Macaca fascicularis: one gene and its partner. The protein of the gene in region 2 binds, or shares a complex with, the protein of the main gene of each other region. Links are inferred from orthologs where the notes say so. Each region holds a gene or a part of one and is shown on either strand. Other genes may lie near its edges.

The links.
Region 1: the proteins of MPP1 (region 2) and GYPC are in contact, whole or in part, in an NMR structure (PDB 2EJY), measured with the Homo sapiens proteins. The link is inferred for Macaca fascicularis from reciprocal best matches to the Homo sapiens genes MPP1 and GYPC. Residues at the interface, in NP_002427.1 of Homo sapiens: Pro81, Met82, Gly83, Ile84, Leu86, Lys87, Leu88, Leu100, Val130, Gln134; in NP_002092.1 of Homo sapiens: Arg123, Lys124, Glu125, Tyr126, Ile128.

Annotation. Positions count from the first base shown.
Region 1 is NC_088386.1:4,918,857-4,924,524, reverse strand, and holds the start of GYPC (glycophorin-C), read left to right. Parts: upstream 1-2,468; 5' UTR 2,469-2,558; coding exon 2,559-2,607; intron 2,608-5,668. UniProt on the Homo sapiens protein: This protein is a minor sialoglycoprotein in human erythrocyte membranes. The blood group Gerbich antigens and receptors for Plasmodium falciparum merozoites are most likely located within the extracellular domain.
Region 2 is NC_088395.1:160,893,814-160,898,786, forward strand, and holds part of MPP1 (55 kDa erythrocyte membrane protein), read right to left. Parts: intron 3,185-4,973; exon of another isoform or gene 3,151-3,184; coding exon 2,954-3,150; intron 1,973-2,953; coding exon 1,866-1,972; intron 1,170-1,865; coding exon 1,089-1,169; intron 201-1,088; coding exon 120-200; intron 1-119. UniProt on the Homo sapiens protein: Essential regulator of neutrophil polarity. Regulates neutrophil polarization by regulating AKT1 phosphorylation through a mechanism that is independent of PIK3CG activity.

The DNA of each region.
Region 1 (5,668 bases), on a different chromosome or scaffold from region 2:
TATCTGACCTCTGCAGTTTGTGGGGCTTTCAATTTTCGCTGTTTAGTCAGTTTATTAATTTTTTTGGCTTCTTTTCTGTAAGGAATTCTCTGGAACATTTTGATACCTTCAACCCATCCTACCCTAAGAAATTAAGGAAATCGCTTATGATTATGTCTCAGGCCAGTAGGTTCTAAATGAGTCTGTAAAAGTCTCTAAGTGTGCTGCAATGACCTAATGACTTATTCTTTGTTACCTGGCAGGACTTTCTGCTTCTTTCCAACTTTCCAGCTGCATTTCAGATAATTAAAGTTATTTTCTCTCAGGACAGGGGAGGCGGACTACTGTTCCACCTAGACATAAATGTACGTATTACCAAAAAAAAAAAAAAAAAAGTTAAACTGTTAATCATGGGCGCGGTGGCTCACGCCTATAATCCCAGCACTTTGGAAGGCCAAGGCGGGCGGATCACCTGAGGTCGGGAGTTCGAGACCAGTCTGACCAACATGGAGAAACCCTGTCTCTACTAAAAATACAAAATTAGCCAGGCGTGGAGGCACAGGCTTGTAATCCCAGGTACTTGGGAGGTTGAGGCAGGAAAATTGCTTGAACCCAGGAGGCGGAGGTTGTGGTGAGCCGAGATCGTGCCATTGCACTCCAGCCTGGGCAACAAGAGCAAAAACTCCGTCTCAGAAAATAAAAAATAAAAATAAATGAATTAATCATTGCTTGTTTCTGTTTATTAAATGCCTTTTCTGTTCCCACTGTGATTCTACAATCACTGCCTCTGTAAAACCCTGGAATGCAGGTGTTCTTGCCTCCATTTTATAGATGAGGAAATCAAGACTCAGGGCATTCGGTGAGGAGTTTATTTCAATTCACCATGGCTGTGCTGCACATGGCAGTTGGACTAAAGATCTGTCAGCATCGGGGCTTCTTCATGATCTAACTAAAGTGAATCATAAGTGCTTTCCCACTGCGTCAAGAAGGCCTGGAGTTTGTGCAGCCCAGGTAGAGGTGAGCAAAGCCTCTGTGTTGCACATCTCCAGGGCTCAGCCTCTCATTGTATTCAATGCAGATGACAGCCCCAAAGGCACCGCCCATACACTGTACAGACAACTGGCCTGGCTCTCTGGATTGTGCAGGACAGGCCTTAATGGCAGAAGGTAGGGGAGACGAGGGCGTCACAAAAGTGCTTGGGGAACTATAAAGTACATATGTTTATTGCGGCACTATTCACAATAGCAAAGACTTGGAACCAACCCAAATAACCATCAATGACAGACTGGATTAAGAAAATGTGGCACATACACATCATGGAATACTATGCAGCCATAAAAAAGGATGAGTTCATGTCCTTTGTAGGGACATGGATGCAGCCGGAAACCATCATTCTCAGCAAACTAACACAAGAACAGAAAACCAAACACCGCATGTTCTCACTCACAGGTGGCAACTGAACAATGAGAACACTTGAACACAAGAAGCGGAACATCACACACCTGGGCCTGTGGTGGGGTGGTGGGAGGGGGAGGGATAGCATTAGGAGATATACCTAATGTAAACGACGAGTTAATGGGTGCAGCACACCAACATGGCACATGTATGTATATGTAACAAACCTGCACGTTGTGCACATGTACCCTAGAACTTAAAGTACAATTAAAAAAAAAAAAAAAAAGAAAAGCAGCACAGGACGGTTCAGATATCACATAGGAGAAGCACAGGGTGTTCCCCTGGGCGGGGATTTAAAACAAGGGCCTCAAGTTCCCTGCCCTTGTCTCTGGGCAGAAGGGGCAGATAATGCTATGATATACTTTTTTGTAGGTGGTGCCAGTTGACTGCATTTAACCAACCAAGATATGTAACGAAATCCTTGTGGAGGTTTTCATGGCAAAAGTAGAGCGAATTCACAAACTGCACTGTGTCTGGCAGCTTCAGACAAAAGCAATGGGAACAAATCACAACCCTTGTCCAGCAATTCTTCCTGTTTTGGAACGATCTTTGCTCAACACCCCATCCATGGGTACAGGGCCCCCAAAGGCCAAGAAGACAGGGACTCTCTCCAGGGACAAATGCCCCGTGGCTAGCTCAGAGAGGCCGCCCAGCTATCCAGCGGCCGCGCAGCCAGCCAAGATTTCAACACAGGTCTGCCCTATTTGGTCACCATTCCCGACAGTGCTGGGCCAGGCCAGCAAGTCACATTGGCGAGTTTTCCCTGCACTCCAGGGGGAATTCTCAACCACAACCTCTGTATCCGGTAGTGGCAGATGGAAAGAGAAACGGTTAGAAAAGCGTGGTTCTTGCGCAGGAAAGTTGGAGCAAAGAAGAGTTCAGAAGTGGGCGGGTGTGTGTTCAAAAAAAAAAAAAAAAAAAGGGTGGAAACCCTACCAGCCAAGTCTGCAGAAAAAAAATGAAGTCTGCCTATCTCCGGGCCAGAGCCCCTCCCCTCGGCCCGCGCGGGAGGAGTGTGACCCAGGTGCCGCTTCCTCTCGCCGCTGAGGGTCAGGAGCCCGGGAGCGCGACCCTCCCCCGGCCCGGCCCGGTCCGGCCCTTCCCCGCGGTCTCTGCCCGGGCTGATGCCCAGGACCAGCAGCCCCAACGGCACGGCGCGGCCACTCAGCCTCGGTGAGTACCCGCCGTGGGGAGGGGTCCTGGGGACCCACTGGAGGCCGCGGCCCGCAGCAGCCAGGGGCCGAGCCGCGGTCACGGACTCCCGGGTGTCCTGGTCCTTGCCCGGCCTCCAGGCGGAGGAGGCGCCCGCTGGGCTCAGATCCCCGACTCCAGCCCCGGTTCCCCGGCGCCTGGGCTGCGCGGAGTCCCTGTCCCGCGTCCCGGACGGCGACGCGCAGCCTCCACGCGCCCCGAGCTGGAGAGGCCGCCAGCCCGCCCGCCCAGGGCGTGTCGCCCGCTCTCTGTTTCTTTGTGCGGGGCATGGGAAATGTGTGGGGCCAGCACTGTCCCCCTAAAGAACAGTTAGGGAAGAGTCCACATCACAAGTTGCGTCTGTGCTGCTCCCTAGCCAGGGGCCGACCGGGCAGGCTCTGGTGAACTCCAGGCAACTCCAGCCTTGCCCAGGGACTTGCTCGCTCCTCTGGGCGCTGCAAAGGCACACAGATGCGGGGAAATCCTGCGGCCTGGATCCTTTGGGGATTTGTAATTCCTCGCTGTTTGTTTTCTTTCTCTTTTAAACCATTACGTTTTCTTGCTGACAGGAAATCATATGCGATGAAAGTCTTTGTAGGTGGTTGGAAACATTGCTGGGCCTCTCTCTGCGCTCTTCCTCTGCTGTTACTTTTGCAATAATAACTACCATTTTATTTTACCTAAAAACCTAATGCATATCCCTCTTATCCCCCACCCTGCCGCGGTCTTATTCTTAGAGTCTGTCAGAGAGGAGATAGCCTGAGCCTATCATGTGATAATGTTACCTTATTGATATGATGATGATATGGGTATTGGAGACACCAACTCAAAGTCTTTGAAATCCAGGGGGTTGTGAGGCCTCAACCCCACCCTGCCCGAGCCTGGAGCTTGGCATGGAGGAGCGTAGCTTCGGTCTACGTGTGTACACGGCACTCCGTGTGCCCGTGGTTGTGCTTGGGTCGGCCTGGGAGTGCGCGGGCGTAAATGGTACTTGAGAGCGAGGCCCCTCAGTCTGCACTGGGATCACTGCACTGCCTCTAAACAAGGCAGCCTCTCTTAGCTCCAGTTTCCTCATCTGCAAAGTAGGAATAATAACAGGAGATTCCTCATCCAGCAGTAAGAAGTCCGTATCAATGTCCCGGCACGGAGACTGACACATCATAAGTGCTGGATCCGTGCTGGGCATGTTTATATCATTGTCCATGAGACTGTGGTTCCCGGAGTTTACGTGTGTGTGTAACTTGAGCACGTGTTTGTGTGTGTGTATATGGCGGGTCCTGGGTTAAAGGGACAGAAGCCACTGTCATTATTCCAATTCAGGCACTGAGGAGGTGAGGCTGACAGGCATTCCCATGTCTGAAGAGGATGGGCTTGCCTGACCCCCGCCCCCGTGCCCAGCCCAGCCCAGCCGCCCAAGCAGTTCTCCAGGACTCAGATTTCAGACCTACAACACTTGCCTTGGGAGACAAACAGCTGCGCAGCCCTTGCTTGCAAGCCATTCCGCTTTAGACTTCGGACTGATTTATGGCAGGATCCCTGCTGTGCGAGAACGGCAGGGGGTGGGGGGGGCGGAAGGGGGGCGGCTATTTCTTGCTGCTAACTCAGGCAGGATGTGTCTATATCCTGTCTCAGTTTATGTAGCCGCTGCTCATCAGAGCCAGAGGTTAGAGTGGAGAGGACCCACTTCCGCCAGGCAGGCCTGCTTTGCTCAGCTCAGCTGGGCTAGGTCCCAATGCCACATTTACTGCGCGGGAGTCATGCACAGCGATCCGTGGCCTTGCCCTTGGATGGAAGAGGTCAAGGCTCAGTGAGAAGATGGCCAGGTTTGGCAGCTTTATATAGAATACACCGCCTCTGGCAGAAGCAGAGGATGGCATTAAGTGCCAAATGAAATTCCACCTCAGCCATTGCTCAGTTCCTCCAGATGTCACGGGCACTGGGAGTCGCAGGGCGCTGCTGGTCAGCAGCTGGACCTTTCCAAGGGTGCCAGTGGTTGGGCAAGTATTTCTGGGGACTTGCAGAGCTCCCTGGGGAGCAAAGGGGTGGGAAGTACAAGGCATTCTGCGCTTGTGGTGGGAACAAGTGAACTCGTCTGCAATGAGTAGGAAGAGGTCCCCTCCACAGGGGTGAGAGGTTGGGCCAAGCCAAGTCAGTTTGCCTCTTCGGGTGGCAGACCTGTATATACATCTATGCCTCAAGTGCCTGTCTGAGGCCACAGCCAAAACATCTTCCCGTAACTGAGCACACACAGTGGGCCAACAGCACGCTCTAAACACAAAACCAAACAGTAAAGTTAACAGTGAATGAAGGGTTAAAAATAGGAAAAAGACACCTTTCTCCCTACCTCAATGGCAATTACTGTATTTATTGAGGATAATCCTTCTAGAAGTAAATTTGCTGATACAAATATTTCTTATTTGACATAATAAAAACTTATTTTATATATTTAATGTCATCTTGCTTTTTCCCTCAGAATATCTCTGAAAGGTTATACCTTGTTTTTTTCTTTAACCAGTTCCTCTGCTGATGGGCATTTAGGCTGTATGCAGACTTCATTTAATTTTTTAAACCACATACAGTACTCCTGTGACAATGCGTAAGGAGGATTTTACGTGCTTGTGTCTGTAAACTGTTGGGATAAATTCTCCCACCTCAGCATTTGATTTCTGGGACAAAGTATATATCCATTTAAAATGTTAGTCGATCTTAAGAAACTACCCTCCTAAAGTTCACACTGGTTTCTCATGCTCACAAATAGCCTGTGAAAGTCACTATTTCACTATTTCCCTGCATCCTCACTCACACTGCACTTTTTTATCTTAGCCAAACTGAGGGGTTAAAAAAAAAAAATGCTGTCACTTTGGAATGAGCCTCTGTAATTAAGTGAGACGGAGCATGTTTTCTTACTTCCATAAGAGGCTGCATTACTTTTCTGGGAAGTGTCGGTTGATGCCTTTGTCCGTTTCCTGTCAGCACCCCACCCCCGTGAGGAAACGTGCCCCAGAAGTGAAAGGACATGTCCTCATCACATGATGAGTAAGAG
Region 2 (4,973 bases):
TTTAAAAAAATAAAATAACACTATGGTATTTCAGATGGAGAGTGGTACTGTGATAAAAAGTGCTACTGATGCCCTGTCCGCCTGTCACCTCCCCTCCACAGTGCCTATGAGCTACTTACATGGGGCAGGGTACACAAACTTCTCCGGATTCTGGCTGAGCAGGGCATTCTTAATGTGGCTGCGACCCACCCCACTGGCTCCTGTGTAGAGAGAGAACATCTTTTGGAAAGCGGGGAGAGGAGCAGAGATCGGGGATAAGATACAGATTTTCCTCTCTTGGCACTCAAAGCTGCCAACAGGTGAACATGAGTTCGGGTTCCATGTGGGCTGGAGTCAGGGCCTTTAAGCTGTCAGAAGATTTGGGGCCACCAAGGGGCTTCAGGTCCTTTTTTCCATTTCGGGGAGAAGGCTCTTTCTGAGGACTAAGGGTTGGGACTCAGAATGTAACTGTCACTTCTGCAGAGGAGCCAGCGAACACATGAGGCTTTCTGGTTATTTTCTAAAATTTCTTCAAAATTAATGGAACTGAATTTAAGCCAGTGTTTTTACTAGAAATTTTACCAAAACCTTAATGTAGATCCTCTAACCAACTAAAGTTTCAACTCTAAAGACAGGAAGGTGAGCAGCCCGCCAGAGGCAAAGCCTACATACCTGGGTTTGAAGCAAGGACTTACTCTGTTTCAGGTCAGAGTCACTGCTTGGGGGAAGCTTCCAAGGCTTATATGGGTGACTGACAGTTCAGAATACTAACAAAATGCTAGCGAAGCTCTCCAACATATTTGCTTTAAAAAGCATATCACTGCCAGTGGACAGATGAACAAAGAGCAAAACCTTGTTTCGGACCTGCCAGCATGAAACCTAACCAAAGAGAATTCGTTGCTAAATAGTAGAGAAACTTATAAGGTTTAGTTTCATTTGTGAGGTGGACCCAGATGGGGTGCATGTGAGGATTCAGAAAATTCCTTACACCTGCTCTATGTGGAGAACCCAAGAGACCTCACTTATTTTCTTCCTCACTGCCTTTTTCTGGGGTGGGCACATGATGCAGGCAGGAAAATAAAGACAGAAATGTGCAAATGAGAAGATACCGATCAGCACCAGGGTCTTCCTCTTGAATGCAGGGAGCCGAACGACTTCCTCGTAGGAAACAACATCCAACTGATCAAAAACTAGAGACAAAGAAAACCAAGCAGTGTTCATTTCCAGAGCTGGGAAGAACAGTGTTCCACACTCTGAAGTGGGAAAGAACCTCACGATATCTCAACAAGCAGGGAGGAAGTGACTAGAGATGAGGCTATTGACCCAGCTGCTCAAGATGGAGACCTGGTGTCATCCTGACTCTCCACCCCCTCACCTGCTCACAACCCAAGACTGCCACGATCATTCCCTGGCTGGTGGTGTGCATGTGACATCTCAGAAAGAGAAATGCAGATGGAAAGGTGACCGTGTGAATTCTCTGCTCAAAACCCTTCACTAGCTCCACAGTCTGTAGTACAAAATTGAAAACGCTAGGGAGGGTGCACGAAGCTCCTATGACCTGGTCCTGGCCTCTCCCTCTGGCCTGTGTTCTTGCCCCACTTCTCCTTTCCCACCACAGATGTTCTGGCCACATCTACTTCTGTGTGAGGGGTGGGGTGATGAGTAGGTGTAGGCAGACCACTAGTCCTCCTTTACCTCCACTGGTCTGACTGCGGCAAGCTTGTGAAGATGGATTCAATAAAAAGAAACCAGAAGAAATTATATGCTTTATGTAGAATGTGCCTTCCGCTGCACACTGCACCACCTCCCCTTTTCTGCTGGTTACAGAGACTGGGAAACACACGAATGCTGGAGGAGCCTGGGGCAAGAAGGCTCAGAAAGCTTACTCGAGCTGTGCTTGGCCAGATATTTGTCTTTGTACTTCTTCTTCTTCCCAAAGGGACTGCAGCTCGGGGCTTCGCTAGGAGCTGACTGAGCTATACTTGCCACTCGCCTGGTAGGAAAAGACAATCAAGGGGTCAGCTTTCCTCCCCCTCCCCTCATAACCCCCTAGTCACTCATTCCCTAATCCCCTTCACTCTCTGAGTGTCCGTTACAGTGGGACATAATGTGTGCAAAGCGCCCCATACGCTGTTTGGTGCATCTTGCACTGTGCCCTGCCCTCAGTCAGGGACCTGGCCCCTTGAGTCTGTGTCATCCAGTACCTGTCAGCACATTCTGGACACAACGCACAAACAACGTGCTTTCTTTGGTCTAGACCATCAAGGTCTCAAACCTTTATGACCCTAAGAAATACACTGTACATTGCAAGCCAGTATTATACATACATCTATAAACAAAACACATACACACACCCCACATATATATATCTAAAACAACTGCTTCACAAAACAATAACTTGTATTACTACATGTAATAGATTCTAATATTTCTATTCAATGTCAACCCCACAAGGGTTGTAATCTTTACACTGGGGTAATTTTGCACAGGCAGAGGGAGGCTCAGTGTTGGATATGTTATAGGTTGGAACTGTTTTGTGAATTTTTTTGGGAGCAATCTGACTCAGGGACAGGAATTATTTTTTCTATGTACCAGAAATGTGCCTAAAGGACACATACTTAAATGTGACTGTTTTCTGCAGGACTCCAAGGAAATCCCAGAAACAGTATGGCTGGTAGAAGCGCACTAGCTTGGGAGATAGGAGACCAGGGAGGGCTCCGTCCCAGCACTGTCACGTGCTTTGTAACTATGGGGAAAACGTTTAAGGAAGCAAGAGGCCCACATAGGAATGAAGAGCTATTTGGGCTCCCTTGCCTGTAGTTGCCTCTTTAACCCTCCCCCACCCATTATGCCAGGAAATCTAGGAGGTCTCCTTGGTCGAGAAACAGAAACTACAAACAAAATGACAGATTTTCTGAAGCTAAGTTATTTGTGGCAGGCACATGGCCCTTCCGCCTGCACAAAAATGGCTCACCATTCCTGCAGTTCAGGGGAAGGGATCAATCCTGCTGACTCCTTGGAGGAGCCTTCCACCCGTCCCTGCCACCAATTGCTGTCATCCTTGTTGATAATCTGGATAATGTCCCCAGTAGCAAACTTCAGTCCCGCCTCCTTGCAAGGGATCAGGTTGTCCTTTTTGGGATCATAGTCAAACTGCGCTCTCATGAACATCTAAAAAGAAGGCAAAAGGAACTGCAGGCGGCAGCTTCAAAAGAAACACCAGCATCAGAGCATGTCCTGCTGTAAACAAATTGGGTCAAGATACACAAATCTGACAAGAATCTTACAATTTCTCTCTGCAACAGAGATGTAAAAACGCCAAACAAAATATTAGCAAGTCAAATTTAGCTATGTATAAAAAGTATAATAAATCACACCCAAACAGGATCTAGTTCAGCAATATAAGAAGGTTTACTACCTGAAGGCCAATAAATTCACCACATTAACATAAAAATGGAAAAAGATCATATGATCCCCTCAACAGATGCAGAAAAAGCCTATGATAACATTCAAAACCCATTCAAGATTAAAATTCTTAGCAAACTTGGAATAGAAGGGAAGTTCTTTATTGTGAGAAAGAATACCTACAAAAACCCTACATCCAGCGTCATACTTCTCAGTGAAAGATTAAAAGCTTTACCCCCTTTTTTTTTTAAAGGACATGGGTCTTGCTATGTTACCCAGGTTGGTCTCGAACTCCTGGGCTCAAGCAATCCACCCGCCTTGGCCTCCCAAAGTGCTAGGATTACAGGCGTGAGCCACCACACCTGGCCAGCTTTCCCTTTAAGATGGAAAAATAAACAAAAATGCCTGCTATCATCACTTCCACTGAGATATGGTGCAGATGCCTCTTTTATCCAAATTGACATGCAGGTTTGGCATAGGGATAAACAAACAGTACAATGGAAAAGAATAAATAGGCCTGTAAATATCACTCATGACAAAAGTGATGGTGTACAGTAAATGATACTGGTTCAATTGGTATCCATATGGAAAAACTGGAATCTTGACCTCTTACCTTACAATATGTATAACAATCAATCCCAGATGGGTTGTGGATCCAAATGTGAAAAATCAAACAAGTAAGCATTTAGAAGAAAACATAGGAGAATATCTTAACCTTGTAGTAAGTAAAAACTTTTAAAACAAGACGTAAAAAGTGCTAATCAGAAAAAAGTGGTAGATTGGATTTCATTAAAATTGAGAGTTTCTAGTCATTAACAGGAACCATGAAGAAAATAAGCCACAGAAGAAGAGAACATACTTGGGATGCATATGACAAAGGACTCTTATCCAGAATATATGAGGAACTCCTACAAATCAGTGAAAAGCCTTGAATTGGTATCTTACAAAAGAGGATACCCAAGTGGAAAAAAAACATATAAAAAGGAGTTTACCCTCACTAGTCATTAGAGAATTTTTAGAATCACAATGTGATACCACCATCAGGATGGCCAAAGGGCGAAAAAAAAAACCAAACAAATCAGACAATGGTAAGTATTGGTGAGAATATAGAATAACCAGAACTGTCATACTATGCAGCTGGGGATGTCACATGGTTCAGCTACTTTGGAATACTATTTGGCAATATCATCTAAAGATGAAGACACACATATACTACAACCTGGCAATTCTACTCTCAAAAGAAAGGCATAGATGTATGCACAAAACACATGCATAAAAATCATATGATTTTTCTCCATTTTTCTGTTAACGTGGTGAATTCATTGCCCTTCAGGCAGTAAATCTTCTCGTATTGCTGAATTAGATCCTGTTTGGTTAATGGCAGCACTACGTAAGACCAAAAAAGCTGACTGAATAAATTGTAGCATGTTCATACAATGAATGAATGAGAATGAAGCAATATAGGCGATTCTCATAAACATAATACTAAGTGAATAAAATGAGACACCAAAGAATTCATACTGTATAATTCAATGTTAATACATTTCAAAAAGGGGCAAAAGGGCCGGGCACGGTGGCTCACGCCTGTA